Struthio camelus: one gene and its partner. The protein of the gene in region 2 purifies or fractionates together with the protein of the main gene of each other region. This does not show direct contact. Links are inferred from orthologs where the notes say so. Each region holds a gene or a part of one and is shown on either strand. Other genes may lie near its edges. The genes, in order: MGA and E2F6.

What was found.
Region 1: the proteins of E2F6 (region 2) and MGA purify together in Homo sapiens (affinity purification with mass spectrometry; 3 studies listed by BioGRID and IntAct, counting the BioPlex papers as one, with this or other methods). This does not show direct contact. The link is inferred for Struthio camelus from reciprocal best matches to the Homo sapiens genes E2F6 and MGA.

What each region holds. Positions count from the first base shown.
Region 1 is NC_090946.1:41,710,155-41,726,340, reverse strand, and holds the start of MGA (MAX gene-associated protein), read right to left. Parts: upstream 6,512-16,186; 5' UTR 6,282-6,511; intron 1-6,281. UniProt on the Homo sapiens protein: Functions as a dual-specificity transcription factor, regulating the expression of both MAX-network and T-box family target genes. Functions as a repressor or an activator.
Region 2 is NC_090944.1:23,558,527-23,574,155, reverse strand, and holds the start of E2F6 (transcription factor E2F6), read right to left. Parts: upstream 6,755-15,629; 5' UTR 6,428-6,754; coding exon 6,371-6,427; intron 3,127-6,370; coding exon 3,078-3,126; intron 1,549-3,077; coding exon 1,332-1,548; intron 1,001-1,331; coding exon 842-1,000; intron 1-841. UniProt on the Homo sapiens protein: Inhibitor of E2F-dependent transcription. Binds DNA cooperatively with DP proteins through the E2 recognition site, 5'-TTTC[CG]CGC-3'. Has a preference for the 5'-TTTCCCGC-3' E2F recognition site.

The DNA of each region.
Region 1 (16,186 bases), on a different chromosome or scaffold from region 2:
ACAGAAGTGAGGAGTTAAGAGGGGAGGAAATATGAATATCAGAGAGATGTTATTCTTTTTGTTATGGGTCACATTCAGATAGTCTTTGAAATACCTTCACATGGCCATTCTCTCTCACAAGTTTCTAAAATACCTCAGCACAAGAAAAGCTCTTTCTTACCTAGTATGCAGTGGATAACAACCAACTACTTCCCATTTGCTATACGAAAGCAAGAGGAAGAAAGGAACCAAGAAAGCATTCCAGTTTAGTTATAAAAAAATTCCAGTTTAGTTATAACTCTATTATAATTCAACCTGTAACTTTTTAGTTCACTTTGACTAGGTACTGTAATCCTAGTCAAAGGATTCCTAGTCAATTACTAGGAATCCTGCAAGCATATCTGAAACATTTTTTGTTCGCTCTCAAGTTTGCTCTTTCCTTGGTATGTTCTCTGTGCTGTCCTATTTTCTCCAAAAATAAAGTTCTTCTAATTTTCAGGTTTCTTACTTCTGGATGTCTTTTTTTTTTTTCTTCCTTTTTTTTTTCCTCCCCCAGAAGGCAGCTATTAGTACCACCAAGGGCAGCTGAGCAAAATCAAATAGCAGAAAGTGACATGCTTGTGGCCCACGAGCTACATGTTCCAATGATAATGGAGAAGCAACACCAGGCAGTAGACATTGCCAAGGTTTTTGCTACTGTTTGGCCTAAATCAAGTAGAAAACCTTGCCTGCACAGAAGTGGAACCTCTAGTTTATCAACAGAACAGCTTCACCAGTAGAAGCCAGAGCAGTCTCATTTAACTTTGAAGGCAGTCTTGCTTTGAGGAAGTTTGACAATGACTTGCTGAGGTTCCTCCCAATTGACATTTTTCTATAGTTCTGAGCAGTTCATAGCAAAAAAAAAAAAAAAAAACACACACACCCACTAAAGAGCTACATTCCAATTTAATCTGTACAAATATCAGTTTGCACTGATAGCCTTGTTTGTGCTAAACATCATTGGGTAGTACAGAAATGAACTGTTTCATACCAACTGAATATTACCCTCCATGATCAGTGGAGCTACCCTACAGTAACTAGTGAAGTGATGGTTGTTTTTGAAACTCTGAAGTTTACTACCTAAAAGTATTCCCTCTTCCCCCTAAATGCTCCTTTCAGACATACTCCCTGCTTTGCAGCACCCTGAAAGCATGACCTACAGTCTCTACAAATTGTATTTCCCAGTGGTATCTAGCAAATCGTAATTCCTTCCTTCAGTAGTGCCTGCAAGCAAAAAGTGCAAATTCTAAGCCTACACAGTACAAGAAAGTTGCCGCCTGCAACTTAGGCGTCAACCAATAGTCCACAAAGTTGCTAGTTAGAGTTCTAGAAAAAAGCCGAGTCCTTCAAAAACTGGTATTTCTAACCTACCTCAAAAAAGAGAGTCAGTAACAGATCATCAGCTGGAGGGTCACAAGGCCCAGGCTTTGCTGAAAATCTCTATGTGGAAGAGCAACATATGTTGCAGACATAGCTGAAAACCTGTGGAGAACATGAAAGAGGTGGAGATTGTATTTTTAGTTAGCAATCTCCTTTTTGGTTTGAAAAAAAAAAGATCTCTACTACCAAGTAGAGCTACAACAGGACACTTCTGTCAGATGGTATACCTTGAGAGGCATTACTCCTGGAGTACTACTGGAGTATAGAGGAAGCTTTCAGTTCACAAACTCACTAGCTAAAAATAACAAACACAGTCAAATATGTTGTGTAAAGTTAAAACTAGAAAAAGAGTAACCAAAAAAAACACCACCTTTCTTTAGCCACTTCGGAGAATCATTAGCACAGTAGCACACCACAAGAAATCTGTTAATTCTGAAACTATGAGTTGGATTAAGCTGCCTGAACAAAGGCGTATCATTCCATTTTCTACATCACTAGTCATCCAACTGGTCTCCAACTGCTACTCCAGAAGAACATCAGCCTTCTAGAGCTGAATTTGTCTGCTGTTCACAGATGTCTTAAATAACCTAGAGCACTAAAATGGCACTGGACTCCTAAGCTTGGGTAGCAGAATCCCAGTCTAAATCTACTAAAAAGTTTACAATATTTTATTTACAATATAAAAGTAGTGCAAGTTCTTCCCTTGGTTATACTAATTAAGTATAGTCTGATGTCAAGAAGAGTATTAAGGTGTAAGTGATGACAGAATCTAGCCAAAAAGTCTGACATAAAAAAGCCATTTTATTGTAAGAAACTAACTTGCAAAAAAATTAGTTTTTCCAAAACTAGCTTTTCTTGCTGATGCAGATGTGCCAAAATACGTAACTTGTAGGTCATTCTGAACAGCAGCTGACTCCGGCTCAGCTGCCCACTCCAGCCCCACACAGAACTTACTATCCCCACAGCAAGCATGACAGTTTCTAAGGCATCAGTTTTCAACCCAGAGCACTAGTTTATACTAAGTCCAAATTCACTTCTTAACACTTGAGGCCCTGAGTATTCTAGGATGAAGTAGCAGCAGTTCAGGAACTGCTTCATAAACTGTCAGCCGCATCCTTGCAAGAGCAGCAGTTTCTATTGCAGAACAGGGTAAGCACTTTGTGGGGGGAAGAGGAATACCTGCTTCAGCTCTCCGGTGCTAATATTTTCCTACATGAGTCAAAACTTCCAGTCCTCCAATAAAGTTATTTTGCTTAATAGCATTGATCCTGCAATGTACAGTATGCAGTCGTTCTCTATCCCCCAGGAGTCACCTAAACTTTTGGGGGGAATACAGAGATCTTTCCAAGCACTGAAGACTGAAGAATAGAAATATACAATTTATTTACATAAAGTATGAATCACTTGGTGGAGGGCAGAAAAGTCAGTTTTCACTCTAAATAATCACCTTTTTTTTTTTTTTTAAACTATATCGGTAACTACGATATGTTACTATTTAGGCATTTTAAATACATTTTTGCATATTGCTTCCCATATTCTATCAGCAAGTCATTGATATGCCCACTACTCAAGCACTCAATGCAAGCTTGCTACATTTTTTCAATATATTACTTCAAAAGCCAAAAGTTATAAAATAAAAGCATACAGCAAACTTTTGTGCTTTCTGCCATACAACACTGGCAAAAGCAAGCCACAACCAAGAAGAATAACACAAATTTCATGAGTTTCACTCCTTTTACAGCCACCATGAAGAACTTGTACAATGTACATGAATCTTCAGATGAAAGTGTTGTCCACAGCATAGAAAAAAATGAAGGTACAAACAAGAAAGCTGGGCAAAACAAGACAAGAAAGTAAAAAAGACCTCATCTGAGCTCAGGACACAAAGTTACTGTTTTATAGCAACAATCATACCTACATAGTCACCTATAGCTCTAGTCCATCAAGTCATAGCTGCCAGCAAGATCTCTGTGCCCCTTTTAGACCATGGTAAAAAGGAGAGTAACACCAGTTAAAGCACTAGGTAGATTTAAAATCTGGAACCCATCTCCATCGATCTTCATTACTGACTTACCCTGTGGTCAGGCAGACCACACCATACTAGCAAAATGCACTGTATTGCAAGAGTTAGCAAAACAGCACATCATTCCATCATCACAAGTATTTGCTTAACTGTAATTAGGTGATAGTCTTGCCATTTCCCAATTGGCTTTTTCTGGTGATAGTGACTGTAGCAATGAACACAAATACTTTTTCTGTAGATGTATTTTATCTGGCTCCCACATTCATTTTCTGTCTTCTGTACTGTTAATGTCCCTTACTGCCTTTCTGGTTTGGGCTTCATTTTTTCTGACTACCTTCGTCTCGTGACAGACCTTCTCACCCATATCATTTTTACATCATTCTTCCTTATCCAGTTCAGAAAGAGGCATATCAAGGATTTATCGTAGGTACTAAAACCAGCCAAAACGCAACAATGAAAGGGGTACTCCATATTACTGGGGAAAGAGAAGAGCAACTCCACCATCATTAGACTCTTGGTTCTTCAGTCACCCAGTAAAAAATAGTAAATAATATCATCCCTAATTGTGGAAGAACAAGACATCAAGTAAGCTTTGCTGTTATCACAGCCAATGGAACTGTTTTCTAATTGCGTATCATGGCGGAATTTGAGTAGATCTTCTGCTGTTTATGAAGCAGCAACCTGACAACAGCCTGTTCTTAGGCAAGAGCTCTTTCCCATTCCTCTAGGTGGAGATCTTTTTTCACTGGGTTTGTGAGAAAGAAGGGATTGTATTTCCAATCCCTTAGGAAACTGGGCAAAAAAAAAAAAAAAAAAAAGCCAACAAACACCACCACATACATTCAAATTGACTAAATCACTTTTAAAATAAAAAGGTAGCAAAAGCTACAACAGAAAGAATTTCTTTTCTAGTAGGTGATCAAATAAGTGCCTTCATAAGTAAACTAACAGTGGTTTCCCTCCAGTGTGTGTTTGCCTCCCATGACTCACACTATAACACATGCACCAACACTGAGCAGACAACCAGCACGCATGACTAAAGGCCAGTTACTGCTAGATGGACTACACTGTGAATGAATTCTGCCCATCTCAATTGGAACTGAAAACTATGGTTTTTTCCCCCACACATACATTTAAAAAAAAAAAACCACTACCCATATAAACATTTTCTAGCAGAATCAATTCCTCATTCTGATTCTCAGTACAGACACACAAACAACTGTGCTTGCAGGCACTGGAAGGATACTGCAGCATCACAGTGAGTGGCTGTGCAGGGCAGATCACCTTGAATTGGTATTGCCATTTTGTACAGTTAATTCACACCTTGCCTCTTCTTTATGCAAACTTCAGTTTTCAAAGTCTGTAGCAACTTCAAGTCTTCAGCGCTTTGGCTCACTCTCTCCAGCATGGTTAAAGATAACCCACAAGTTTAGAAGTTGTGCGTGAGCAGTAAGATAGCATGACTGCATAAGCTTTGATGTCTTAAGAAACTAGGCAAAAAAACCTCAAGCCACATCGCTGGAAGCCACTCTTCTTACCAGGCTGAAGAAACACCTGCTAAGCCTTATCCTTCCAATTGCTACTTAAGGTTACTTTCCCAGCTTTTAGTTCCCTGTCGAACTTCCCGTTAACTACCTTAGCACCTAAACCCACCAAGAACTGAAGAACCCAATCCTTGCAGTGCACCACCGCTCAAAGGAAGCGCTGTTGTTTATTTATGAGGCGGCCCTCCGTGGGAACGCCCTGCAGGGCCTGGCGGTGACAGTCCCCGGCGGGCTCCACAGCCCTGAACGCGCAAACCCGCCACATGAAGCCGGCTCTGGAGCCACGTTAGCTCGGCCTCGGCTCCGCGGCGTTCAACCTCCACTAGGGGAAGGCAGGAAACTACCAGAATAACGGGCGGCGCGCGGAGCGACGGAGCCAGACGCCGCGTAAACACGGGCTGGCGGGGAGCGGCGGCGGCGGGGCGGAGGCGCGGGCTCGGCCCCTGCCCCCGCGCGGCCCCAACGGCCGCCCGGCAGCCTCACGCGACGTGCCGAGGCGCACGCGCGCCGCCGCGGGCCGGCCGCCTCCCTCGAGCCGTTACGCCCCGCCTCCAGCGCGCGCGGCGGAGGGACGGCGAGGGAGGGCGCGGGGCCCTGCGGCCGCCCGCTTCTCCCTCCCCCCCCCGCCCCGCCGCCCGCCCCCAGCGGCGCCGGGGCGGGGGGGGGGGGGGGAAGGGGGGCGTGGACGTCCCAAGGCACTGGGGCAGGCCCCCGCCCTGCTCCTCCTTCCCCGCGCGGCTCCCGGGGAAAGGGCTCCTGGGCGGCACGGAGCCGCCTGCAGGGCGAGGCGCGGGGAACCCAACCCCGTCTCACGGCTCGCACCAGCCACGCCTCCGTCGGAGGACGGTCCCGGAGAGCGCGATGGCTCCGGGACGCGGGAGCCCGGCCCGGCCCGGCCCGGCCCGGCCCCTCCGGGCCGCAGCACCCGGATGCGGAGCCGCGAGGCTGCTCGGCCCCTTTAACCCCCTCCCCCCCCAACCGACCCGCGTCACGTGACCGCCTGCACTTACCCCCCCCCCCAGTTGCCCACCCGCGCGCTCCCGCGGCCGCGACCCCGGAGGAAACGGCGGGGGGGGGGGGCCCGGGAGGACAGAGAGGGGCACCCGCAGCCCAGCGCCACCCCCGCCCGCGGCCCCCTCGCCTCAAACGCGGCCCCCCTGGGCCGTAGAGGCACGGAGAGCGCACGTGTGATTGGGCCGCCGCGGTCACGTGACGCGCACACCTCACGCCACCTCCTCGAATAAAACTTCAAAACTGGGGGGGGGGAGGGGACAGGAGCGCGCGGGCAAGGCCCCGAGGCGGCCGCCAACTCCTACCTGCCTCCCGCCGCCGGCTCCACGCGGCGCCGGGCGCCCAGCAACACCCCAGCCCACGCGCCCCGCTCGCAGCTCCGGAGGCCTTCGCCTGCCACGCGCAACCTCCTGCCGTCTTCATTGGCTGCAACAGCCCATCACGTGGGCCGCTCCCGGGTTTTTTTTTTTTTTTTCCTCCTCCTCCTCCTCTGCCTCCCCCGCCCCCGTCCTCCGGCTCGCCGCGCGGCGGTGCCGCCCCCGCACGGCCGGTACCGGCGGGCGGCGTTCAGTGCGCGGCGCTCGCGGGGGCGCAGGCGGCGGCGGCGGTGGCGGCCGGGGCAAAGCTGCCTCGCGACGCCCGCCAGCGGCGCCCTCCCGATTGGCTGGGGCCGCCCGCCGACGCACTTCCGCTCCCTCCGCCTAGGCCACGCCCTTCCTGCCCCTCCCCCGCCCTTGCGCGAGGGAAACACGCCGCTCGCGCGTGGGCCGCACGGGCGCGCGATCGCCGTTGGCTGCCGGGCGCCGGTCCCGCGGGGCGCGGCGGCGCGGCGGCGGCGAGCAGCGGCCCCCGCCCCCGGGGCGCCCCCGCCCCTCCCTTCCCCGCCCCGCCGGTCCGGCCCGGCCCCGCTCCGCTGCCTGCGGCGCCGGGCCGCGCGCGGGGGCTGCGGCCTCTGCGGCGGCGCCCCCTCCCCCTTCCCCCCCCCCGCCGCCGCCGCCGCCGCCGCCGCCGCCGGCCCCGTCGCGCCCGGGGCCCGCCGCCGGGGGCCGCTGGTCGGCCGAGGGGCGCCGGGGGAGCGGCCGGCCGGGGTGGGTGGGGAGCGGGCAGGGGGGCAGCGGCGAGCCCCGTCGCAGGGCTTCAGCCTCGCTGCTGCGTCCGGCAGCGGCCCGAAAAAGCCGTGGTCGGTCCTGCATCGACGAGCGCGGCCGCTGGGCACGTTCCTCGTGTTTTAGCGAGGCTTTTTTGTCATCTACAGGGGCAGCTGCCGAGGCAGCGAGCATCGCTTCTCGGGTCTTCAGGGCCGGCTGCCGCTGCGCCGTGCGACTCGTGTTTTAAGGCTTATTTTAAGGGGCGAAACTGGGGGAGGCACGTTTCCAAAGCCGCTCTTAAAGGTTCCCCCTAGCAGGGCTCAGCGTCTTCCCTGAATTCTGTCATCCGTGCCGCGCTGACTTGGCTGTGATAACTCGGTTACCGAATCTGTAAAACGCCTGCGTAGGACCCTTCTCTAACCGCATGAACGTCTGGGGGGAACAGGCTTTACATACGCAGCCCGCTGTTCTTTCTTACTTTCTGTGGTATTTGCGAAGGCCAGACAAACGCACTCATTTGCACCAAGGTATAATGTGTCGGTCGTGATGGAGTAACAGCCATACATCAAGCTGACTTAAAAAGCCACTGCCCAAAGTGAAACGCCGTTGCACGTGACTAAACACTTTTGTACCTCTTCAGCGTCTCTCAGGCACAACCTCATTGCTTCAAGAGGACTGCTGCAGTGAGGCTTGCTTGTTGAGTAGAACTGTACTCGCGCTCACTACGGAGTTAACACAAAGTTGCCTGTGGTTATTCATAAGCTGAAAGAGTTTAGCAAATAAAGGCTGTATGACCTTCAGTGTGGGAGGTATTCAATAATACCTCTAAACAGAACACCTGTATTTTTTGTAGGTGAAAAAAAAGTGATTCTGGAAGTTACCATCTAGGAAATGTATATTCAGTCCATAGCGAAATAGTGGAACAAATGTTAAAAAAAAAAAAGTAAACATTTAGCAGAGAAGAAAGCGTGAGCTATAAGCCGCATCAGTACATAAAGATAGATAGTACTGGATGAACTTGATGACAATTGTAAATAAAACTGAAATGAACAAAAAGTACGGTAACTATACGTTAATGAAAAAAAGTTAAACATCTTGCAAAATCTTGCAAAATCATTTCAGATTGACTTGGTTATAGGCAGGTCACATGTAACAAAAGCTAATTTAAACTGTAAACAAAAGGTGTGATAAAAGGCACTGCAATGTGTTCTGCAGGAGCGTCTGCAGCCCTAGACTAACGTTTCTGGGATGAAGGCCAAGGCTTTGAAAGGTCCCTAGTCACCGTAGGAATCACCATTCCTTGGGTACCGTAATACTGCTGAGAATTTGTGCCAATACGACTTAGGAGACCAACCAGAAACGTAAAAAGGGAAGTATCTAGTTAGGCATACATTTACACTTTTGCAAAATCTGGCCTTTCAATTTCCTTTCTAGTCAACATTAGTTTATACTTGAATTTCAGGAGAATGGAGGGGTTGGTTGCTAGGTCACTGAGATGCTTGCAAGTATCTTCTCTGTCCTATTAGGGAACTATTTGTTGAGGAATCCTTTTAAACAGTTTACAAATGTATTCAAGTATAAGCTAAACCTTTGTGGAGTCTTTGCAATTTTATAATCAACGTTTGGAGTCATTTGGGTTAGGTTAGCATTAGGAGCTAGATTAGAAAGCACTGGTGGTGTTAGGTCCTGTATATTTGGAGTTCATGAGCAGGTCAAGGAACCACCAAGTTTCAACTATTTCTTTGAAATTATTACTACTGTAACAAGAGATGCGATGCCCAATTCCTAGATGTAAGATGCATTTTAGTTAACAGGAAAAACAGAGAAAGCAGCAAGCAAATTAAATTTGTAATTTGACGTTAAATTTAATGATGTTGCAAATACAAAAAAGACCAAAGAAGAAAAACAAAGGCAGCCAAAAATGCTGGGATATGGACAAGCGAAAGATAATACGTGCAGGGGAAATAGATCATTGATATTTATTTCAGAGAAAAAAGACATTTTGAATGTAGGAGTTTTGAAGGAAATCTTATGGTGTTTGTGAATGTCATAGAAATGAGCCAAGAATGCAGTATGGCTGGAAAAAAAAGCGTTGTTTTGGTCTCCAAGCACAGAAAGCCTCCTTCATCAGAGGAAGCCAGAGCTTAGGATTGCTCTGCTGAAAAATTTCCTGCGCCATTCAGATTTGGAAATCTTCATTTTGAAAAGGTAGATGCAATTTAAAGCAGAGATGACCAAACTACGTGGTGACGTTTTGCAGAAAAATTGCTGCTCATTCCGCTTTTTGTTGCCTACAAACTATCTTCTGTTTGTTGGCGAATCAGACTTTTTTTGAAAGCTAAGTGTTGGGACAGCAGAGTTAGCGAGAGAATCAGGGAGCTGAATAGGTGAGAAAAAGAGTGTTCCTCCTTTCCCACTCCTTTCCTTCCTGAGTACATCTGTAAAAGGGGAAACTGGGGAAGAGCAGTACCTGTTCTTCTATGGATCTGTTTGCCCAGGGCACGTGCTGCTTTTTCCCATCACTACTTCCTCCAGAGGCACCCACTCATTATCCCGTTTCTCTCCGCTTGCTCTCCTGTTCGCAGACGCATTTGTTCCTTCACCTCGCGCCCTCCACTCGCTCTGCACCAAACTGGAACCTCTTCAGCTCTCCCGTTCTGACCCCTCCCTATAAACCCATCATGAGAGTTCCCACGGAGGAACATAGTTAGGAAATAAAGGCATATGCTTCAGAGAACTGAGCAGAAACAGGCATGTCCTTTTATAGGAAGAAATTATACAGGTTTTGAGTGGGCTGAACTAGTGGGAGGAAGGAAGTATGATACAATGAGAAAGGGAGGTGCTAAATCTGGTCTACGCTTAAGGCTGGCCTTTTATTGCCAAATTCATTACCTGGTGTGTTTATTCCCAGTGACTGCAGAATTCAAACCCTGATAAACACATTTTGTTCTTCCATTAATAACATCCATTTATAATTAGTCATAAGGTAAAAATAATTACATTTGAACAACAATAATTGCATTTAACAGCAAGCACCCCTTCTATGCTTGAAGTATGTTATTTGAATTCTTAAGTCAATCACTGAAAGACTACAAAATGTCAGAATTAAGGATGCAACTTCCTGGGCACTGCATGAGTCAGGCTCATATGAAGAAAATAATGTGTGAATATTTCATGAAATCAGCATTACGCACATGGGAGACAATTGTAAAGCTGGCATTTACTCCCTTTCTAGGGCTGATTTTGCATCCCCAGCAGGGGCTTCTTTATCTGACGATATGGGAGGAAGGAAGGGTTCACAGATGGGGGGGGGGGGTCCCTCTCTAAGAGTCCCCTAATGTTATTTTCATTGGGCAAAGTTGTGAGAAAGATCAGTTGTCTTGGTTACACGTGGAGCCACTGCCGCTGTGCAGCGTCATCACGCCCGAAGCCTGAACGTTGCCCCCGCACGCCTAGCGCTGGAGCTGCAAAGGCAGCTCAGGGGCTGTACAGCAGGGAAAGGCAGTTATTTCCAGAGCTTGAGGCCGGGGATCCGATGCTGAGACCCGAACGGCAAGGGCAGGAAGAAGTCCTCTCCAGATCTTCTTCAGTTATTCCGCAACGAAAAGCGGCGGGCGCCCTGAAAGGCCTGTCGCTAGCTTTGTTGCCGTTTTCCTTTCATGGGCTTAGTGCAGCCTGCCGGCAGCTCACTTGTCCCCAGCCGGCTCCCCCCGGCAGCCCCTCTCCCAGGCGCCCGCGTCCGTCGGCCCCTGCCCTGCCCAGCCCCGAGAAGGAAGAGCCGAAACGGGGCAGCCTTTCAGCCTCTTCCGCGGGGCCAACAAGGCAGAGGGGAGCCGCGCTGCGGCGCTCGGACGAGGCGAGTTTCTGGCTGCAGCGCCTCGCCGCGCCGCTCGGCCCCCGGCCGGGTGCTTCTTTAAGGCAGAAGCGTCCTGGGGACGCGCCTGTGGTGGGAGGTTTCGCTGCGGGCCAGCTCCTGCCCGGAGAGGATGGCTCCCCCAGGGACCGGCGAGCAGCCGTCCCAGCACCGCGCCGCCGCTTCTCCCGGTTGCTTTATTCGCTGGAGGTTCGTAGTCCCCAGCTGCAACAAGCCCGGCCAAGCCCCGTACCTTTGCTCCTCCGTTTTGAAGGCAGGGCGGCCAAAGAGACCGTTTCCTGCCTGAGCGGCCAGCGCGGGCCAGGAAACACGGCCTCGTGCTGCTCCTTCGTTAAGTAACGGGTGACTCTGAGAGCGAGGGGTTAAGCCTTCCTCCAGCAATGCAGTGCTGCAAAAAAAAAAAAAAAAAGGGATTATGCTTCCTTGCAGGCGCAATTCCCTGAGGGCAGATCCTTATCGCAACAGAATAAATCGGAGACCTTTTAATAAACCGGAGCGGCGGAGAGGCGGGGGTGGGGGGCAATAAACCTTTCCTGAAATATTCGGTTAGGGAGCTGCGGCAGCCGAGGAGGAGCTGCAGGCGAGCTCGGCCGTGCTGGTTGCGGGAAGGCGCCTGCTGCCCCCTCGCCTGGGGCTTGTCTCCCTCCTCCTTCCCCGCTCCGGCCTGGGGGACCTTGGATGCCGGCGGCGATGGGGGTCCCTTCCTCGGCCCCCGGCGCAGGCAGAGGCAGACTTTGCGTGCCACTGGGTACCGGCAGCCGCTGGTGGCCTCCGGCACGGCCCGGGGCCGGTCCCCCTCGCCGTGCCGCTGCCTTGGTCCTCCACGCGCGGAGCCGCCCCGCGAGGGGGGCACCGCCGGGACGCCGCCGCGGGCCCCTGCGCTGCCGTTTGCTTTTCACCCGCAGGAGCGAGGAGCTGCCCTGGAGATCCCGCTGCAAGCACTGGTTGTGAAGCGGCTTGCCGGCGTGGGCGAGCGTCCGTGCACGAGGAGCTGCCGCTTCTGAGGTACCTTGTCTAAACGCCCCTGGCTGCCCTTTCTGCATGTGCCAAAGCCGCTCGTCGCTTCCTAGAATTATTTCCATGGAAATAGGAATTGTTGATGGTTTCTCAGATGTGGGAAGCCAGTAATTTTCATGCTGCAATATCGTCATGCAAAACAGCTTTTGGAGCCCTAAACCATGTGGGGCTTTAGGCAGCAGCGGCAGCCGCCTGCTCTCGCCCTCCTCGCCTTCCTCCACAGCGGCACCCGGCATGGCTCCAGGAGCCTGGCACTGGCAACATGAAGCAGCAGGACGGGCAATTTTATTACCTGAAGCAACCTGCTGCCAGAGGAAACTAATACAGATGTTCTCCAGGGCGTCCACTTAAAGCTAGCGTTATTCAGCATGCTACGTATTTCCTTGAAATGCCTCCAGAGACATTGTGATATGGCACAGACAACGCAACCACCAAAAAACAAAGAAATACGTGAAACAACCTCCCCAGAGATGCTGCCGATAAACAACATAACCACATCACAGAACCGCTTAAACAACCGAGGAAGTAAATAACCAACAAACAGTGCACAGCCTGAAAGCTGGCGCTTGCAGAAGGCATTTCTGCTTCCCTTCCAAGCCTGTTTCCCTGGTGGCCGCACAGAGGAACCCACCAACTGCACATCTAGAAACCTCTTCAGTTTTTACGCACCAAATGTGAACGCAAAGCAAAATGACTAGTTTGGGGCCAAATTCCAATTTGAGCTACTTCCCATAGTTTTGCAGAAGTCGACAAGTATAACTAAGGAGAAGTAAAAGTGTGGCCAGGAATATCTCCCTGCTTTCAAACCATGCGGAGTCAGAGACTAGAATTTTCTCTCTCTATCAGTTATGACAGAGAGAGAAATGATCAAATTGTTCCTTACTGACAACTGAAGTGTGTTAAAAAATATATTTGGAAACATAAGCAGGATTACTATGCAGTGCTCTCAGGCAAGCGCGTTAAGCAGAGCAGCGCCGTGAGGCCGGCAGGACAGCGAGGCTGCTGCGTCGGGCCGGCCCGCGGGAAACCGCCCCAGACCCACTGGGGCATCCCGGGAAAGGTCTGTGAGCGGTCGCCAAAGCACGGGTGCCAGCCAGGCACGTGCGGCTTCCTGCTGGATGGAAAGGCTCGCGGGGCCAAGCGAAAGCCCACCGAAGGCCCTGGGAGCCCTGCCAGGGACTGCCGTTGGCGCTGGGTCTGGCCCACGGAGGGCAGGATCCGCAGCTCTCCGCGTGACACCGCCAAAGTGGCAGAGCTGTGGCAGCAGAAGAAAGGAAAGCGCGACCGAGGGGAGGTGTTCAGATTACATGCAGAATAGGCTTTCATGGACAAACAGCCAGGAAGGGGAAATCCGCAGGGGAAAAATAACCCACTGGCTAACTGTGGAGGACCACATATAAATCACATATAGATCTGCAGATCATTAAATGAATGTCTTCAGACATCCGAAAAGCCCACATTTAACTGTATTTATAGGCCCACTTTCGAGGAAAGTAAATAATGAAACGTGAAGGATTTTGAAAACCAGGGCAAAGTCTGCTCTCGGCCTCATCTCTAGAGCCTCTCCAACCTCTGTTATATGAGGGCAGACAGCCATTCATAAGAGACAGAAATCTTATGCTGCAGAGATGTCCCGGATGGGCTCGTCACCCCTCACTGCCCCCTCTGAGCTTTCCCAGCTCTTGCCCTGCACCCTCCGACCCCGCTGCCTGGCTTGGCCCTCCGCAGCCAGCCCTGGGTTACCAGAACAGAATTTCATCCCAAACATCCTCAGAGTGAAACTTTGGCAACTTCCCGCTGGCCTAGGGCTTCTTTGCATACTCACAGAGGGGGTCACAGCACAAAAGTTGGTGCAGCAAGTTCAGCTGCTGTTTCCAACATCCTCTCTGCAACCAGAAGTTCAAGCAGGAAGAAAACCGATGGCAAACCTTATCTGCGGGCGCACCTGCGCCAAGGACAAGGTAGGTCCTGCCCTTCCGCAACACCTGCTGAAGGCAGGGCAGCACCTTGCTTCCAGCTGCGCTAACAGGTCCGGGTTAAAAGCAGGTATCGGGGAAACACCTCACCCTGCTAATGCATGGGAAGACTATAAAGTCTTGTCTTCTTTAAGATTTTACCCACGTTCTCCCTAACGTTGAGCTACGGACATCTTTTTCTTTATTTGCAAAGTTCACTGTCAGTGACGCTCTGTTGCCCAGACCATTTGTAGGATGTTTACTGAGAAAAAAAAAATCAATTAATTTTTCTAATGAAAGTTTAGAGTCTCTTTGGAACAGAGACAAGTGCAGATTTTCTACAGTCACAGATTTCTCCTGCCAATAAAATTTGGTCTAGAAACAGGCAAGCTGTAAAGCACGATTTTGAACTCTTGCCAGTCTTGTGATGGCATCATCCCACTGACTTCCGCGGAGCTGCTGCTCCCTGACCCTGCTGCCCCGTCGGCGTCAGGGCTCGCTGGTGCTAAACGACGCCTCAGCAGGTGCGCAAGCCTGAGGAGGAAAAACTGACTCTGGCCCAGCAAATCATCTTCACACAAGAGAGGGCCGAACACGGTACGAAGGCAGATGGGGTGAATTTCCAGATTACAGGCTGAATTCTTCTCTCAATAGTTTTTGGTTTTTGTTTTTTTTTGTTTGGTTTTTTTTTTGTGCCGGGAAACCAACCTCCGATGATCTCTGTGGATCTCTCTCGGATGATTTCATTGATTTGCACCTGTATAAGCAAAAGGAAAATCAGGCATTTTGTGCAGCAGGCCTCTAGTGTAAGTTCTGCTCGAGTGATACGGTGATTTTCAAGTGCAAGAGCATAAATCTCAAATAAAGTCCCTGTGGGCCAGCTGTTGTCTTCAATTACAGTATTGCAGCCCCCTACTGCAGCTTTACAAAACTGCTTTACCAAGCAGCCAGGGAATATTTCCCTGAGTATATTAAGAGAGAAAAAAGAGAAATATCAAGCCATATAATTCTCTGATAATAAACAGGTTCAGCTCTTCTCATTTGGGATTTTGCCCAGTCATGCCTGCAGAAGAAGATGGCCCACAGGCAGGGCAACAGCCCTGGGGATTTTAAGCGGTGACCCAGAGGAATTTCCTCAATAATATGGAAAATATTTCAAGTAACGAGCCAAATCTTTGCCTCAGGTGCAACCCTGTGTATCAGCTTCAATGGAATTGCACTGGCATAGTTGCGAGTGTTGGCAGACAAGCTCGAGTGAATCAGACTGGGGGGGAGGGAGTGTGAGAAGTTATCTGGCTTGCTCCGCCAGAGATTTCCACCCCCACAGCAGCGCTGGTAGAAACATGGGCCCATGCCTCATCCGCTTCCGTGCAACGTCTGCTGCCTTCGCTTCAGCCCACCTTGATCAGCCCGGCCATCGCCAGTCCTGGCTGCCAGGAACCCAAATGCCAACGGCGGGGAGTGAACGAATACTCGGAAGATGGTTACGTTTTAAACTGCCTCCGCTGTTTGCTAAGTAAATGCGGGTCAAAGCCCTGGATGTGACACAATTCGTGTAGTACCGCAGTTTTGTCCACGGCTTAGGACCCATGTCTGAGCCCTGCTGTGTAACGGCACGCAGTGGGTCGGTGGGAAGATGCTTCGTCCCAGAGCTCAGTCCAGATCCCTGCACGACCTTGCAGCTTGCGTCCTCCTTTGCCTCAGAGACTGCTACAGGTACAAGGTCCACGGGCACTGAAAAGCTATTAAAGCGCAGTTGCTTCTCATAGGCCCAGCCACACATCTGCAAACTATCTCTGTACCAGCTTCTATTTATAAATCTTTGTGCAAGAGGAGGAATAACGTAGACAAATAGTACTGGAAAATGTATTTATTAGGCCTGAACCGCACTTGATGTTAGTGGAGCCATGCAGATTTACATTGTTTCGCGATTTGGCCCTTGTTATTTTTAGCTTCTTTTAATGTAAACGAACAAGTAGAAACAATGAGAGCCAGCAGTGAGTGACCAAAGTGCTCTCAGCTCTAGGTGATACCAGCATCCCGCAAGCAAGAGCAGCTACTGCAAAGGCATTCATTGGCTGAGCAGAAGTAAAGAGCCAGCAGCAGTCTCCCACGCAGTTTGGTTAATGACAGGGTAGCAACCAGGATCGGTGTCTTATATATTAACTAAGAAATAAGTGACCTTTTGAATTTGCTGCACTAATTGTCATGTTGCTGCGTACAGAACGCTGTTCCCTCCAATGTCCCACAGTTTCTCTCAACTCCCAGTTTTTGCC
Region 2 (15,629 bases):
GCTTTAACATTAGACTTTGTAATGTTAGGCAGTAGCTGACAGGAGAACAGCCCTTCTCTTTATTTAAGAAGGGGGAAACAAAATTTAAAAAGATTGAGATATTCAATATTGAAAAAAAACCCACTCAACAATGTTTATATCAAATTAAAATTTAAAAAAGGAAATCCCCTTTCTCTTATCAAGGACCCCCTTTAAGATAAAACTACACTGGAATCTTTCACAACAGACAGAACAACCACCATACCATTCAATGTTGTTGTTGACAGGTCACTGGGACTCTGTTTTAGGTCCTCTCTCTCATCTAACTAATCAACTCAATCTCACTGGTAGGCAAAGTCTCTCCCCGAGATATTATTCTATAATGGAGAGAACAAGAACATGGTCAAGGTACTGACTGAGACTATTGCTTCATCTCCATTTTAACTCTTTCCTCTTCATTACTGTTCCAAACGACTCCTTATCTCAATATAATCCTCTTCCTTACCCTCTCTGCCACTGATACACTCTTCTTTCCTTTACATTGCAAAGTGCCAAAGGAAAAGAAGAATAAAATAGTCCAACTCCAGTTCTTTTTACTTCACCTCTTCTCAAACTTCTGCAGTGGAAAAGTCATTCAAGTAGCACTTCCCTGGGAAGGTACTTGACTGCATATGATTCTGCAAAAGAGGGCACATGTCTAATACACACTAATATAAGGAACCCAGAAAGTTCCCTATCATAAAATACATAGTCAAGTATTACTGCCTAACTGTGGTGTCTGCCTACACCTATTACCAGATACCTGAGCACTAGTGATCAAAATCATGTGATAGATAAAGTGATGTAAGAGTTAAAAGGATATTTTGCATTTTCTTTGTCATCTGTTAGTTCAAATAACTGATGAGCACAATCCTTGATTAATTCATCCAGGGCTTCTTCCATGGCTGACAAGTCAGAAAGTTCATCTCTAAGCTTTTGCTGCTCTGGTGCCTTTCCAACAACTTGATCAAGATCAGAACCTCTAAAAGAATATGAAAGTTGTCTAGTAGGTTTATATAAGTAAGAGCTTGTTTATTGAATACAGAAAACGTACTAATAAGAACCAATAAGGAATTCTGGCATCCTTTGCTCTGCTGAAATACATTTCATTGTTGCTTTTTTTCTCCTACTTGATAATTATTAATATAGTATGTAATTCAGACAGTCTAAGGATGCAATAGAATTTAAGACAGCTTCATTTATCCAAAGTAATTAAATATGCTTAAAAATACTCTGAGCTCCAAGCTAAAAACATTACTTAGTACTGTTGGTTTTTATTGTTTCCAAAACTAGAAGTTTCAAAGCCAACTCACACCCACTGGATAAGGTTCTTAGATCTTTTCTGAATTAAGTGGATTCCATCCAACACATTGGTGATGTCATACACTCTTCGTTTCCGTACTCCAAGAGTTCTTGCTACCTCGTTTAAATCAAGGACGCCATGTGGAGCTGTTTTGACAAGATCCATGAACTTTCGGGTCAAATAAACCAGGGAGGCATCGAATCGAGGCTTTGTGACTTTCAGAGTCTCTGTAAAGGTTTGACGCAATATTTAGTATAAACTACTACAACAATATTAAGTAGTTTTTAAACAAACAACAGCACTGAAGATAAAAATCTTGAAACACTACAATCATTTAAAACACTGACATTGAGATGGCATCATATAAAGTCTGTTAACCAAATGCACCTTTATTGGTCTGCAGTAATTGTATCTAAAAAGCAATCATGCATCTTCACGCTTTCAAAGTTCATGCTAACATGGATATTAATAGTTATGTTACCATACGTTCACTGCGCTATGTAGACTCAAACTACTAAGTGAATACTAGTAAAAACATAGGTCAACTGTAAGTTAGTACATTAGATAGTGCCTGGGCCCTGCCCAAGAACTGAAACTCTAATATTTGCTCTGTTAGACTGTTAAAACAGTTCTTCATATCCCTTTGGCCCAGGTCAACCAGCAGTCTCCCAAATAATTTCACAATTCAAGAGTTAGCCTGGTTTTAGGGACTATTTCTATCTGAATGTGACCAATCTGTTCTGGAGTATAAGAACTTAATATATGGACAAACATAGGTTGTACTATTTGGCCTCAGACCTAAAGAGCTGTTGATGTCATTACTGAGTTTACTAATAGAGATGAAGATCTACAGATACCATAACACCACATGTTTAAGAGAGACCCCTGTGCTGCATCTTCCCAGTATCAGCATATTCTCAGAAACAGCAGAAGAGCTACTGATGAACAGCTTGGTTAGTTTTAGATTGTTACATACTTATATATGCCTGAGTACTCCTTTGTTTTAAAGCACCAAAAAGACTTGATGTCTATGCACTAGTCAAGGGGTTCTGACGCAAGAGTCAATGAAAGACCGTCAAACGCCGCTGTTACTTGTGTCTTCTTCTGCAAAGAAACCACATATTTCTTATCTGATCAAAACGCATCACTGAACATTCCTGTTTAATGCCTCAAGGGAGTGTGCGCATCTGTGCGTGCACGCATGTAAGGAAATTCCCCTGGGAAGCACATTCTACTTTATAATCTTCAACATTTTTCCCAGGATGAATGCAATGTGCACTTTTACTCATGGTATATCATATCCATTCCACTGCTGCAAGCTTGTGGACACTTTAATATGAGGTGACAGATTCAACAACTTGCTAATCAGTTCTGGACTCTATTACTGTAAGAAAACGTACAACTAGTGAGGAAAAAAAAAAAGGACACAAAAATTCACTAAAGCTTGTATTTACATTTGTTAATGCCAGTTGAAATGCAAACTTTTCCAGCATTATGTTCCAGTTTTCTCTAACTCATTTTTTCCATAACCTCACTTTCATTATAGGAGTGGGGAGGTATAATTGCAGCAGATGGAACGAAAAGAGGAAAACAAAGAATGTGTTGCATTGTGTTTGCTATTTCACCGAGTGTGCAGCATTCCTTCTGTTCTGTCTTTACTAGACACACAACACTTGTTTACAACACCTACTCGACATTGTAAAAAAGAGTAATATACTTCACGGATAATCTTTACATATGGAATGCAGAAACTTACTTCTTACAAACTGTACCTCATCTTCCACATTCAGGTTGATCACTGGTGGCTGCAGAATTAAAAGGATAACTGACGTTACGAGATTTCATCTACATAGGAAGCTTCTCCACGTGAAACCCCACCTCAGCTGTAGATGCTACAGGGATCACAGCACTGACAACTCAGCAGGTATTACTGTGAGGGAATCTCACTGGATAGAAGAGGTACTTGCTTATTAATTCCTGTCAGAATTTTCAAGCTTTAATCTCAACACATTTTCCTCTGTATTGGAAAGCAGGAAATGCCACCAAAACTCCCCAACGCTTAGGCAATGGTTCCAATACAAAGCAGTAGCTTTATACACTCTATAAACACCAGTTTCAGACACTCCCTGTAACAGTTCACATACAAAAGATACCCAGATATTACACAGCATCACAGTTATTTTGTACTAGACTTCCAGACGAGCAGTCTGCTCTGGTCTTGAAACTGACATGATGATCCCAACTACTTTCTTCCTTTCTCCCTCTCCAGTTCAAACAAAATGAATAGTTTCAAATTCATAGACTCATTCCAGCTGGAAGAGTCCTCAGGAGGTCTCTTGTCCAACCTCCTGCTCAAAGCAGGAACAGCTATGATATCAGACCAGCTTACTCGGGGCTTTATTCAGCTGGATCTTGAAAGCCCCCAAGGATAGAGGCTGCACCTCTCCGGGCAACTTCTTCCACTGCTTGTGTCTCTTCATAGTGAAACATTTCTCCTTATATCAAGTTGGAAAAAAGGCATGAAATGAAAGAAGAGAGGCGAGAGAGGTTCCTTCATCCTTCCATCATGGACTACTGTTAACTGCCTGGCTCCATCTTCTCAATAACCTCCTAGTAAGTACTGGAACACTGCTATGGCTTAAAAAGCCCAGCTCCTTCAGCTTCCCTCATAGCTCATGTACACTAATCTCCAGACCGCTTTTGGTGGATCTCTGCTGGTAGCACTCAAGTTTATCAACATCCTTTCTGTACTAGAGTTCTTAAAGTGTGACAGAGTAATCCAAGAGTACTTTAACAAGCGCCAGATAAAGAAGACACAACCTCACAACCTCACAACCTCAACCATTCTGTGATTCTGTGAAAAATAATCACTTCTTCTGATTTGTTAGCTATGCTCCTGCTGCTACAGTCCCACAGGGCTTCATCACTACCAGGCATACTGCTGGCTCACATTTAGCTTACTGTCCACGAGGATGCCTAGGTCCTTTCAGGAGAGCTGTTCCCCAGCCACTCAATTCCCAGTGTGTACCACTGGGGGCTATAGGGTCAGGTGGCCGGATTTCTAGTCTGAATTGAATTGTCAACTTCCTTATGAAATTCCATAAGGCTCCTGTTGAACCATTCCTCCAGTTTGTGCCTAGGGGTCTATGGCACTTTCCCCTTCTCATTTGGTGTCATCCATAAACTTGGCAAGAGCACATCCCACGCCCTCCTACAGATCACCCATAAAGATACAGGATAGATGCAGCTGACCATCTGTAACTTTCCAGCTTGAAGACAAGGATGCTGTGGGATACTATTTCAAAAGTGCTGCTAAAGTCAATGCAGATGATATCCAATACTTTGCATCTACAGAGCTAGTCATTTCATCAAAAAAGATAATCAGTTTGGTCATGCAAGAATAGTCATGCTGGCTAATCCCAGTCACCACCTTCTCCTTCACGTTCCTAAGAAATGCCTTCCAAGAGAACTCGCTCCATGGTTTTTGAGAGACTGAAGTGTGGCTGACCAACCTGCACCTGATCTCCACAACCTCTTGAAAATGACAGAGATCAGCCTCACAATGATATCAGTCAGCTCTCTCAGATCCCTCTGGAAGCATCCCGTCAGGTCCTGTTGAGACTTGTAGGGGCTGAGATTTCTCAAGAAATCCCAGACTTGATACTTTGCCACTACTGGTAGTTCCTCTTCTCCTTGAGCCCTATCCTTAGATACAAGAGCCTACAGAACCTCGCTTCTGAAGACCCAAACAAGAAGGCCGAGTACTTCAACCTCATCTGTGTCTGCTGTCCCTAAATCACTTGCCCCATTCAACAGCAGATCCACGTTTTCCTGTTTATTCTTTTACTGCTAAGGTAAAAGTTCTTTGTCACCCTTGACATCCGTTGGCAGTTTCAACACTAACCGAGCTACAGCTTTCCTTACATCATGCCTACATGTCCAGACAATTCTCCTCTGTAGCTTGACTTCACTTCCACCACCTGCAGATCCCCCTACCCCAAGCTCAGGCATAGCCATGCCTCCACACATCTTGTTTTCCTGTGTATCTGGATGGTACATTCCTGGATACATTCCCATGCTTGAGTGAAGGTGTGCTTACCAGAACTCCCAGGTCTTGAGCTCCTCTACCCTACAAAGTCACCTTCCAAAAAAAAATCTCAGTTACCAGTTCCCTGAATAAGCTGGAGTCTGCTTTCCTGAAGTCCAGCATCCGCGCTCAGCTACTTGTCGTCCTCACTACACTTAGCATCTTGAACGCCACTATTCAGTGGCCCCTGCAGTCAAGGCTGCTAATGGTTACCACACTCTTGACTTCCTTGTTGATGAGAGGCAGATTCAAGACAGCACCTCTGGTTGGCTGATCCATCACGCGGCATTATGTTGTGCCCTACACCCTTTGTCTCTAAAAATCACCATCTCTAGTAGTAAGAAATTTTCAACTACTGATGGAAAAAATTCAGGGAAACCTTTTCATAGCAGGAAGGCAATGCTACCAAATAACATTTAGCCCAATAGCTGAAGTTAATAAAACCAAGCATTTCTTAAAGAAAGTGACACAGAATTAAAAGTAAACCTATTTTTAATTAGCTACCTCGTAACATTACTAAAAGTAATGCCAGATACCACAGAAAAGTAGATTACCTGAACTTCACAGACGTTCATATAAGAGTAAAATAAAGCACCACCCTGCAACTGATTTTTCAAACACATCTACAACCTAGTTAACTCGACTAACAGGTTATAGTTAGCGCAGCTAGGAAAGACATTGCTTTGCACTCACTAACGTTATGACAGCCTCCTCTCCCAGGCAGCCTGCTAAAAAGCCATGAGGGAGGGAAGCATCACTATGCTTCTGTGTACTTCTCAGGCCAGGCACACCACATCTTCCCCGCTCAGGGATATCTTGCCAGACAGGTGAGAGGAAAGACTTTCCCGGATCGCCTTAAATCGCTCAGTGGCGGGAGCACAGCGTTGCAGGGCCGTCCCGCCCTAGCCCCATCCGCCGGCAGTACCTCCCTTCCCCGCCCGCCCGCCGTGTCCCTCACTCACACGCAGCGTGTCCGGCTGCAGCGGCCTCAGACGCTCCCACTTGGCGGGGGTGGCCATGTTCGTCCGGCCCCTCCTCCTTCCTCAGGCCGGCCGCGGCCTAGCGCTGAGGCAGGCCTCTCCCGCCCGGCGGGCAGGCGGCGGTGGGAGGGCGCTCAGGGGCCTCGGCGAGGCGGCTGCGAGTCCATGTCGGAAGAAGGCGCCGCCATCCCCACCCCGCCTCAGGGAGGAGGGGACAGAGGGGTGGTAGAGGGACCTCCCGGCCTCGCCGCAGCCCGTTACGGCCGCACCTCCCCTCCCCCACCGCCGCCAGCGGACCGTTGGGCGGGAGAGAGGGCCCCGGCGGCCGCGCGCGCGCGCGCGCTCGGCTGCCCCCCCCTCCCCACCCCACCTCGGCCCGCGCGCGCCGCCTCAGCCCGCTCAGCGGAGACGGGCGCGAGCGCGGCGCGCGACAGGTGACGACGACAAACCTCCCTCCCCCCCACCGCCAAAAGGGCGGCGAGCGACGACTTCCCTTACCCACGAGCCTCTGCGGCGAGGTCCCGCAGCGGCCCCGCCCACGCCGCCTTTCCCGCCCGCCGGGGCCTCAACGGCCGTTGGTCGCGGTGGGGGGAGGGTGGCCGCCGCCGGCGCCTTTCTCTCTCAGCTCGGCGGCGATTGCCTGGCTCACGCCTGCGGGAGCGCCGGGGAGATGTCTCCTCTGAGCGCCGAGGGGAAGGAGGCTTCTTCGAGTATCGCCCAGATTGGTGCTCCCTGCGCTGTTGCCCCCTTTCCCCACCCCGAAGCAGTATTAAAAAAAAGATTTGCTCTCCCGCCTCCCCCCGTGTCTTTCCAGTGGGCTGTGGGTGGCAAGGAGAACTCCCTTCACCACCCCAGTGGTCTAAAGTGGATTAAAACAGGAGTTTTCACTACCTCAGTTATTTGAAAGCAGGATCCTTGCGTTCCCTCCATGTGCAATGTAAGCCAGGAGAAAGTGCCCTGCCCAGGCACCTTTGAAGACAAGTGGAAATAATTACTATTGCTTCTTGCCAAATAATGCATTCCTGTCCTGACCGGCCAGGAGCAGGCGGCCATAGGAGATCAGGATCCCATGACCCTACTGAGAATCACTAATTACAAGTCGTTAGTGGGGGAAGAGCTGAGTACGTTCCTCAAGGGCCAGAGAGGAGCCAACAAATGCAGCTGCCTCAACTAAGCCTGCACGTTTCCCTCTCAACAGGAGTTCTCAAATCTTTTCCCAAATACCCAATTCACTGGCAGTTTCCGTGCTTCCTTCCATACTTCTGATATCCTTTGTCAGGCACTGACTGTTTCCTTGCTCATTTGTCTGCATCGCTTAGTAGCTAGCTCCTGTTTGTCAGATGAAAACATTTCTGTAAAACATGTAACTCTTTTTGTCCGTTAAACCGTGTGTTGATTGATTGCTGTTTATGCCAGTTAACGGCCTCTACCATATGGTACAATAGATGCTCTGTCATAGAGTTCTTTTACGTGAAAACATTCTGAATTATTTTGCTTCCCTGCTCTACAACTTTTGGTGAAAATTAAAGTCCCCCCCACCTTCCACACCCTCAAAGCAGGTGCTCTGTAGAAATGTGAATTTCACTGGACGTTTTGTGAAACTGCTAGTCTACTATGAGGAAGTCTAAGGCATGAAGGACTTGATTCATTTTCCAATGCATCTGATGGGATAGGTCAACTAACATTCTATTATCTTGACAAAATATTGAATCCATTTCCATTTACTAGCTGTTTCTTATCCTTGCAGGTTAGATATTCCTTTGGAGTAGCATTTGGCGCCACTGATGATACATCAGATCTCTTGATACAGGATGGGATTTTCTGTGTAGCAACTGATTTCTAGTCGATGATTTGCGTAACAATAATTGTCCCTGTAGAGACATACAGAACTGAGGTATGTTGTTCTCATGTTCTAATCAGTTTATAACAAAAAAAAAAAACAGGAAAAAAAAGTATGTTTTAACTCCTCAAAACTATGATTTTTGTGTATCAGGAGACATGAAGACTTGAGTTGTAGATCTGAAGATGCGGATGGTGCTTGTTTGTATTCTCAGGAGAGCTGGGACTAATGCAAATGCAAAAGGTTCTCCATGGAAGCAACAACACATCACGGTGAGATAAAACACTTGCATGACATTCCTGATTCATATTCATTTTTTATGAACATGATAATTCTTGCTGACTACTTCAAGGTGATAAATCTATATTCCCACAAGGAATCAAAATGTCTCCCTCTTTGTATTCTTGACTGGAAGACATATGTTACATTTATTGTCACAGGTCGTATAAACCCACTGTGATAAAGCAATTTTTTCCATCTGGAACAGCAAAATGGTTTGGAATAGATGTCTTGAACCACTTTATTTTGGGGTTACGTAATGGATGTGCCATGTAGCATAAAAATCTTTACGTATAATTTTGATGATTATTGGATAGACAGACTCTGGGAGGAAGACTAAGTACTATAATTTGAGGATTAGGACACATGCATTTCCATTTTAACCCATGTGAAAAACATTGTGTCAACATTTACATCTTTTAGAAAAGAACACTGTACTGTTTTTCTAGCTGCTCATAAGATAAAATTCTGTTGTTCCTGTGCCTCTATCAATGGGCTTGTGGAAATAAGTAACTGAGCAAAGAAAAGTCCTACACTGATTCAGATTCAGGAAAATTTTTTGACATTCACGTGAAAAGTGTAAATTCTGATTCTTATTTTAAATGAAAATTAGGTTTTGAAGAAACTGAACTGTCAGGAATTTCAGCTATGGCATTTTGTTGATCAAAGGGTTTAATTCTAGTGCATTACTATTTATTTTTAATAAAACTGATAATGAAATCTCTTCCACATTAATTCTTTGGTTAATGCACTAGCATATGAAAATGTAAATTATACTCCACTTACTGTTATCTTATTGCATACGAAAATAGCTCTTTAGCTTTTTGTGATATTTCCAGGCATTAACCGTACTGGACACGATTCTTAAAGTGAAAGATTTGCTTGGTTGTCAGTTTGAAGTTGTTTACCACTTTGAATTGATTTTTGATCTGCCACCAGGGGGCGGTAATTCCATTTCCTAAGTCTGATTTGTTAAAATTAGTATATATTAGAACAGTGGTTCCACTAAATTTGTAAAGTGCTATATATAAAAGTTAAAATATGATTTGCTTAAAAAAATTCACTACTGTAATTTAATTCCATTGAGGTTAATAAAATGAATGTTCTATTTTATATGTGCTTCTCCTGCAAGTGTTGTACTTCCATTTTGAGCAGCTGAAATTAGATTGTTTTATATAAAATTTTTAATGGTGAAGCTTGTGCTGCATGGTTTAGGTTTCATACAAAATGGAATTTTTTGTATATTTTATATTCCCACTCTAATGATTTAAAATTTGTTTTGAATGTCATTGCTTTCCCATTAGTCTTTTATTGTTTATTACACTAGTTTCATGTTAGTATTTATTAGCCTGTATGCATAATCCTAAATATCACCTGACAGATATGTTTATATCCTCATTTAGTATGTATTTATTTTATTTATATGTATAGAATTTGTACAATACTACAATTAAAACCAAGGCCTTATTCTGTAAGAAACTATACACACTTAAGAGAGATCCTGTATTAAATACAGTCTTCTATTTAGTGATAATAAACTTGTAAGTGAATCTTCCAGGAGGTTCGTATGTACTGTTGCAAAGATGAGCAGGGAAATATTTTCCTGCAAAGACGCAAAACTGAAAAATCATGGAAAACAGAAATGGCTGTAAGTATTTGTTTAAAATGTATATTTTGGTATATTATTATGCCTGTTTATGTAAGCTTCTTAGCCTTCCTGAAATCCTATTAAAGGTCTTCACCACTGCATAATGATTAGGCATAAAGATGTGAAACATTATTTGCTTATCTTAATCTGGGTAGAAAAATTGCTTCTGCATAGATGGTGAATACTCACCCATTAATTTAAGAAATCAAGTCAATTTCTTTCATTTGTCAGATGAGTATGGGGAAAATTGCATCAAATCTTTTACAGAGCAGCGCTAAGCAGCATTCTTTTTTTTTTTTTGTGATGTCCTGCATTGTACACCTGAAATAAAATTAAAAGGCATAGATATCTGTGACATGGTATGTCATAGACATAGATATAGGTATCTGTGGCAAGATAAACCTTTTTAGGACATGCTATTAACCTAAGCCGTCTACTTTTTGTACCTGTAACCCAGATAAGAAATTAAATAGATGGAAAAAGTACCCTGAGGAGGTCATTAGGGTTAAGGAAAGAGCAAGTGCTTGCCGCATATGAACACTGTTGTATGTTATTAAAAAGGTTCAGTGAATGTTGTGTGTTTAGTAGGGTTTTGAAACTTGGCTGCAAGCCATCTCCCATCTGGAAGAACCTGAGAGTTTCTAGGCAGAGGTCTTAACCAGAACTTGCTGGAGGTATCCTGGGCTGCATTAGGCAAAGTGTTGCCAGCAGGTCGAGGGAGGTGATCCTGCCCCTCTGCTCAGCCCTGGTGAGGCCTCGTCTGGAGTACTGTGTCCAGTTCTGGGCCCCCCAGTACAAGAGAGACATGGCACTACTCGAGAGAGTCCAGCGGAGGGCTGCAAAGATGACTAGGGGACTGGAGCATCTCTCCTCTGAAGAAAGGCTGCGAGAGCTGGGCCTGTTCAGCCTGGGGAAGAGAAGACCGAGAGGACATCTCATCAATGTGTATGAGTATCTGAAGGGAGGGTGTCGAGAGGATGGGGCCAGACTCTTCTCCGTGGTGCCCAGCAATGGGACAAGAGGCAATGGGCAGAAACTGAAGCACAGGAAGTTCCATCTGAACGTGAGGAAAAAGTTCTTTCCTGTGCGGGTGAGTGAGCACTGGCCAGGTTGCCCAGAGAGTTGCGGAGTCTCCTTCGCTGGAGATATTCAAAACCTGCCTGGATGTGATCCTGGGCAATATGCTCTAGAGGACGCTGCTTGAGCAGGGCGGTTGGACTAGATGATCTCCGGAGGTCCCTTCCAACCTCAAGCATTCTGTGATTCTGTGTGATTCTGTGATTTTCATGCTAAGCAGTTTATAAACAGAAGTCTTCTGTTGCAAGTGGGCTTTATTGTATTTGTTATTGAAGGAGTGCTTCAGAACTCCTGGCCTGCTTCAGGCATTGAGCATGAAAGAAGAATTGATAAACCTAGATGAGAAGAATTGAGGTAGAAGGCTCTCTGATACCAAAGAGGAGTGGAGATTTTCAATTCCTTCATTACAAAAAGCTGAGAGAAATACTGTGGAGAACTTTTGAGTGTTCAAATCTGATTTCCCTCTCTTTAAAGATGCTTCGTTTCCCTTAGCCTCTTTGCTGTTAGAGATCAAATATTGTACGTATGATTATTGTTCATATTTAGTTTGACAGGGTATACTTCTGTGTTAGATATGACCGTGATGGTTATTGTTATGGTAATGTTCAAAATTACTGTCCAGTAGTTACCTCTAAAAATATATCTCCCAGAAAGAAGAGGATTTGCATTTTCTAAAACGAGTAGAGGAATGAAATTATGAGAGTTAATCAAGGCAGCAAAGATCGCCTGCAAGTTACTGAAGTTTACGCAGAAGATATGCGGCACTATCTTGTGACATAAAGGTAATTCTAGAATATAAAAGATGATTAAGTGGCTATTGATAAAACAGCGGAAGTATTTTAAAGAGTATTCCATGCTAATTAATACAGAACACTTGACAACAATTTTAAAAGGATTCACGTAGTTTTGATTTTCAAGAATCCTCCATAGTAAAAATGATACCTCTGATAAAACTTTGGGAATTGCCAATATGGTATTTGCTTTTCTTTTGAATGCAAAACCAGTTTGAGTCCTCTGGACAGGCCTAGTGCAACTTCCAGTGCATAAAACAATGGAAATACCAAAAAGCTTCTGATAGCTGCTTCTTGCTATATAGTTGAGAGGTAAATAATGTATTTTCTGCTTGATTCTCTTCAAGGGAGTGGTTAAACTAAAACTGTTTAGTTTAAACTAAAACTGTAACTAAAACTGTTGCTAAAATCAAACAGTTTGAACTTTGAGTAGAGATTGTTATATGCAATTCATAAGCTTAATATTAACTTGTGGAGACACCTCTGTTTATGAATTAATGAAAAATTGTAATGGATATGTGGTTTCAATCTAGGTATCTAACTAATATGTAATGCAGCAGAATGCTATGATGAGTCATCATTTGATTTTGAAAAATGAGTAATAAGAATTATGTTTATTTTTATTTATTAGCCAGAAGAGTTTCAAAAGTGCATGATGTATTTCATTTTGTCAGCTTTAAATGTATGGAAAAGTTGAAGCATGTCCTCATAAGATGGCTTCTGTGTATCTTATGCTGAAAATATCTTAACAAGTTTTCTAGCTATTTGAAGTTATTTTTTTGCTTTAGGTGAGGGTTGCCCTATTGCAATTTTTATGTTATTTTAAACACAATGAAAACAAGGTTGATGGAGAGATACTTTCATTTAATATTTTTATTGTCAGGGAGCTGTAAAATCTAGTAGCTCAGTGGAAACAAGGCTGCTGCAACTCTAGTCCACAGGTCCAACCACTAGCAAAGCTAAGCATATATTCCTAGTAGACACACAAGCAAACACACATATACAATATACAGATATACAAATACACACTATATACAGCTACAAAAATACAAAGGACAGGCCACACAGAACAATACAGGCAGACACACTCAGTACTCAGACAAACACAGACAATACCTATGGCCTCATCTTGTTCCCCTCTCAGGCTGATTGGAATGAAGGTCAGGTAGTGAGAAATTCATACCTGTATATGGTGCGTATCCCTCCAGTAGCTGGGCTTAGACGCTCAGTGCACCTGGTAGCTGCTGTTTGATCCACTTGCTGGCAACTGGACATACGATCCCCTGAGGCCCAAAGCCCCACTCCAGTGGCTGGTACAGACCTCCCTACTTAGAGGGACACAGGCACAGACACACACACACGCACACACACGCACACACGCGCGCGCGCGCGCACACACACACACACACACACACACACACACACGGTGGATCTCTCCAATAACTGAGCTTAGATGCACAGTCCATACCGTAGGTGGTCCCAAATTCTCCCCAGATGCCTCACACTCAGACACACACCCAGACACACACACACACACACCACAAATAAATGGGTCTCTCAGTTGACCCCAGACCTCATGGTCTCTTTGAGAGTTGGACTGGCCCCTCTGGTCCCTCAGGCAGCCAACTCCTCCAGTGCCTCACTCTCAGAGACACACACACACACCTGGCTCCCAAGTCACCGAACCTATTTGGCAGCTAGTCCAGCTTGGTATTTGCTAGCGATCACACACTGACTTACAAACCCGCACTCATTCCAGTTGCTGGCACCCCAGACACACAGGCCCTCTGGCCCGCAGCCTAACTCCAGTTGCTGGCACTTAGACCTCCATACGCACACATGCGCACACAAAAGAGAGCCTCTCATGCAGGAAAATTCTTAGACATAAGGTTTAATAAGAAGACAGGACAGACTGCACTGAACAGGTGTGGGGCATGGCCAGACAAACATACTGACCAGCGACCTGTTTACATGTGACCAGCCCCTTCTTCTCCCTTATCTATTTCCTCACACATGTTCCTCCCCAAACCACCTTGATCCTGTCCTTTCCCCTCCTGTAGTTCCTCCCCTAAACATCCCATAATTAATCTTCTGCAATCCCCAAATGCTCTTCCCCTGCATGCCATAATGTGTCCCATACCCTACAGGGAGTAGCTGCCCTTATTCTATGGGTGGGTTTCCCCTTTGGTCCCTGGGACTTTATTTCCTTCCTTGGACTACCCTGGGAGGAGCTGGGTTGGGGTATCCATTTATCAGACTGGTTATTGGTGTTTCCCCACCTGCCATTGTGCCTCTATGCTCCTTTATGTCTGTGGAGATGAGCTTTTTTGTTGTATAACCTACCATGTATCTTTATTAGCATCTTAACTTTATTTCATAATATGAAAAAGGGTTTTATAGCACCTGCTTGAAATTAGAGTAATATCTCATGCATGTGCTAAGTCTTATGATACAGCACATTCATTGAAGGCAGAGTTGGATCTGGGTGAATGTATTATAGCCTAACAGAGGTAAATGTTTTAAATTGGCCACTGCCATCCTCTTTGCCTGTTTTTACCTCTACTTGTTAAGCAATGAGAGCATCAGATGACAGACAAGTGGGAGCAGAGTGTTGGGAGACCTGCCCTGTGCTGAGGGTAGTGTAGAGGAGACAGAGATTCTGGGAAAAAAGGTTCCTCTGCTGCTGGCGTCCCATACTGTTGGAGAGTGCTGGAAAAGTAGAAAATACTGGGAAAACCCTGGGAGTGGTTTCCATATCGGAGGCATCTGTGTTCCAACCATCCATGCTGTGCTTAGCCAAGCCCAGTGCTGCCATGTTCTGCCATGTTTTCTCATTCTTGGGTAACACCCCTCACTAATAGGTCCCAACCCTCCAGCAAAGTTAGACCACCTCCATCCCCAGAGCCTCAAAGCTAAGCAAACTTTTTTACTTCTCTATCCTTCCCTTCCTCCTGCTTTGCCACCACAAGCAAAATAGAGTGTTGCTATCACCAGTGGTGAGAACAAAATTAGTTGCTCTCTGTGGAATGGCAAAATCCAGTTTTACCTGCAGTAGAGAAACCTTGAGTGGGTTCTGATTGAGAGGTAAATTCTAACAAATAATAATAAATTATTTGATTGTAAATGTCACATTTTTTTCTAAAGATATACTCTAGCCAAGCCAGAAAAAAATGTAGCGATTTTCTCTACACATTTTTACTGCAGCAAATGAAATTCCAGCAAATGAAATTACTGTTTCTCTCATTTCTCTGAAAAATTTGGCCCATAACCTTTTCTTTCCCCCTTTTTTTTAGGATACATAGTTCCTCCCCACTGCTCATCTAGAATAACACTCATTACATGACATGAAATTTCGTGTCATTTCCGCTAAAAAAAAAATCCTTCTGTTTTCCAGCTGTAATTCTTGATCCAATGAAAATGATGTCCCTCTTTACAAGTTTGCCTTGGCTTTTGTATTCTGACACAGTGTCTTTGGACTTGACCCCAGGACAGCTACAGCTATTTCTATTAGTTTTAGCCATTATCTAGCTGAGGTGAGCCACACATCTTCTTAGATGCACCTGCAGTTACTGGAGTAGCCTCTACTCAGGAGTAATCATACCTGCA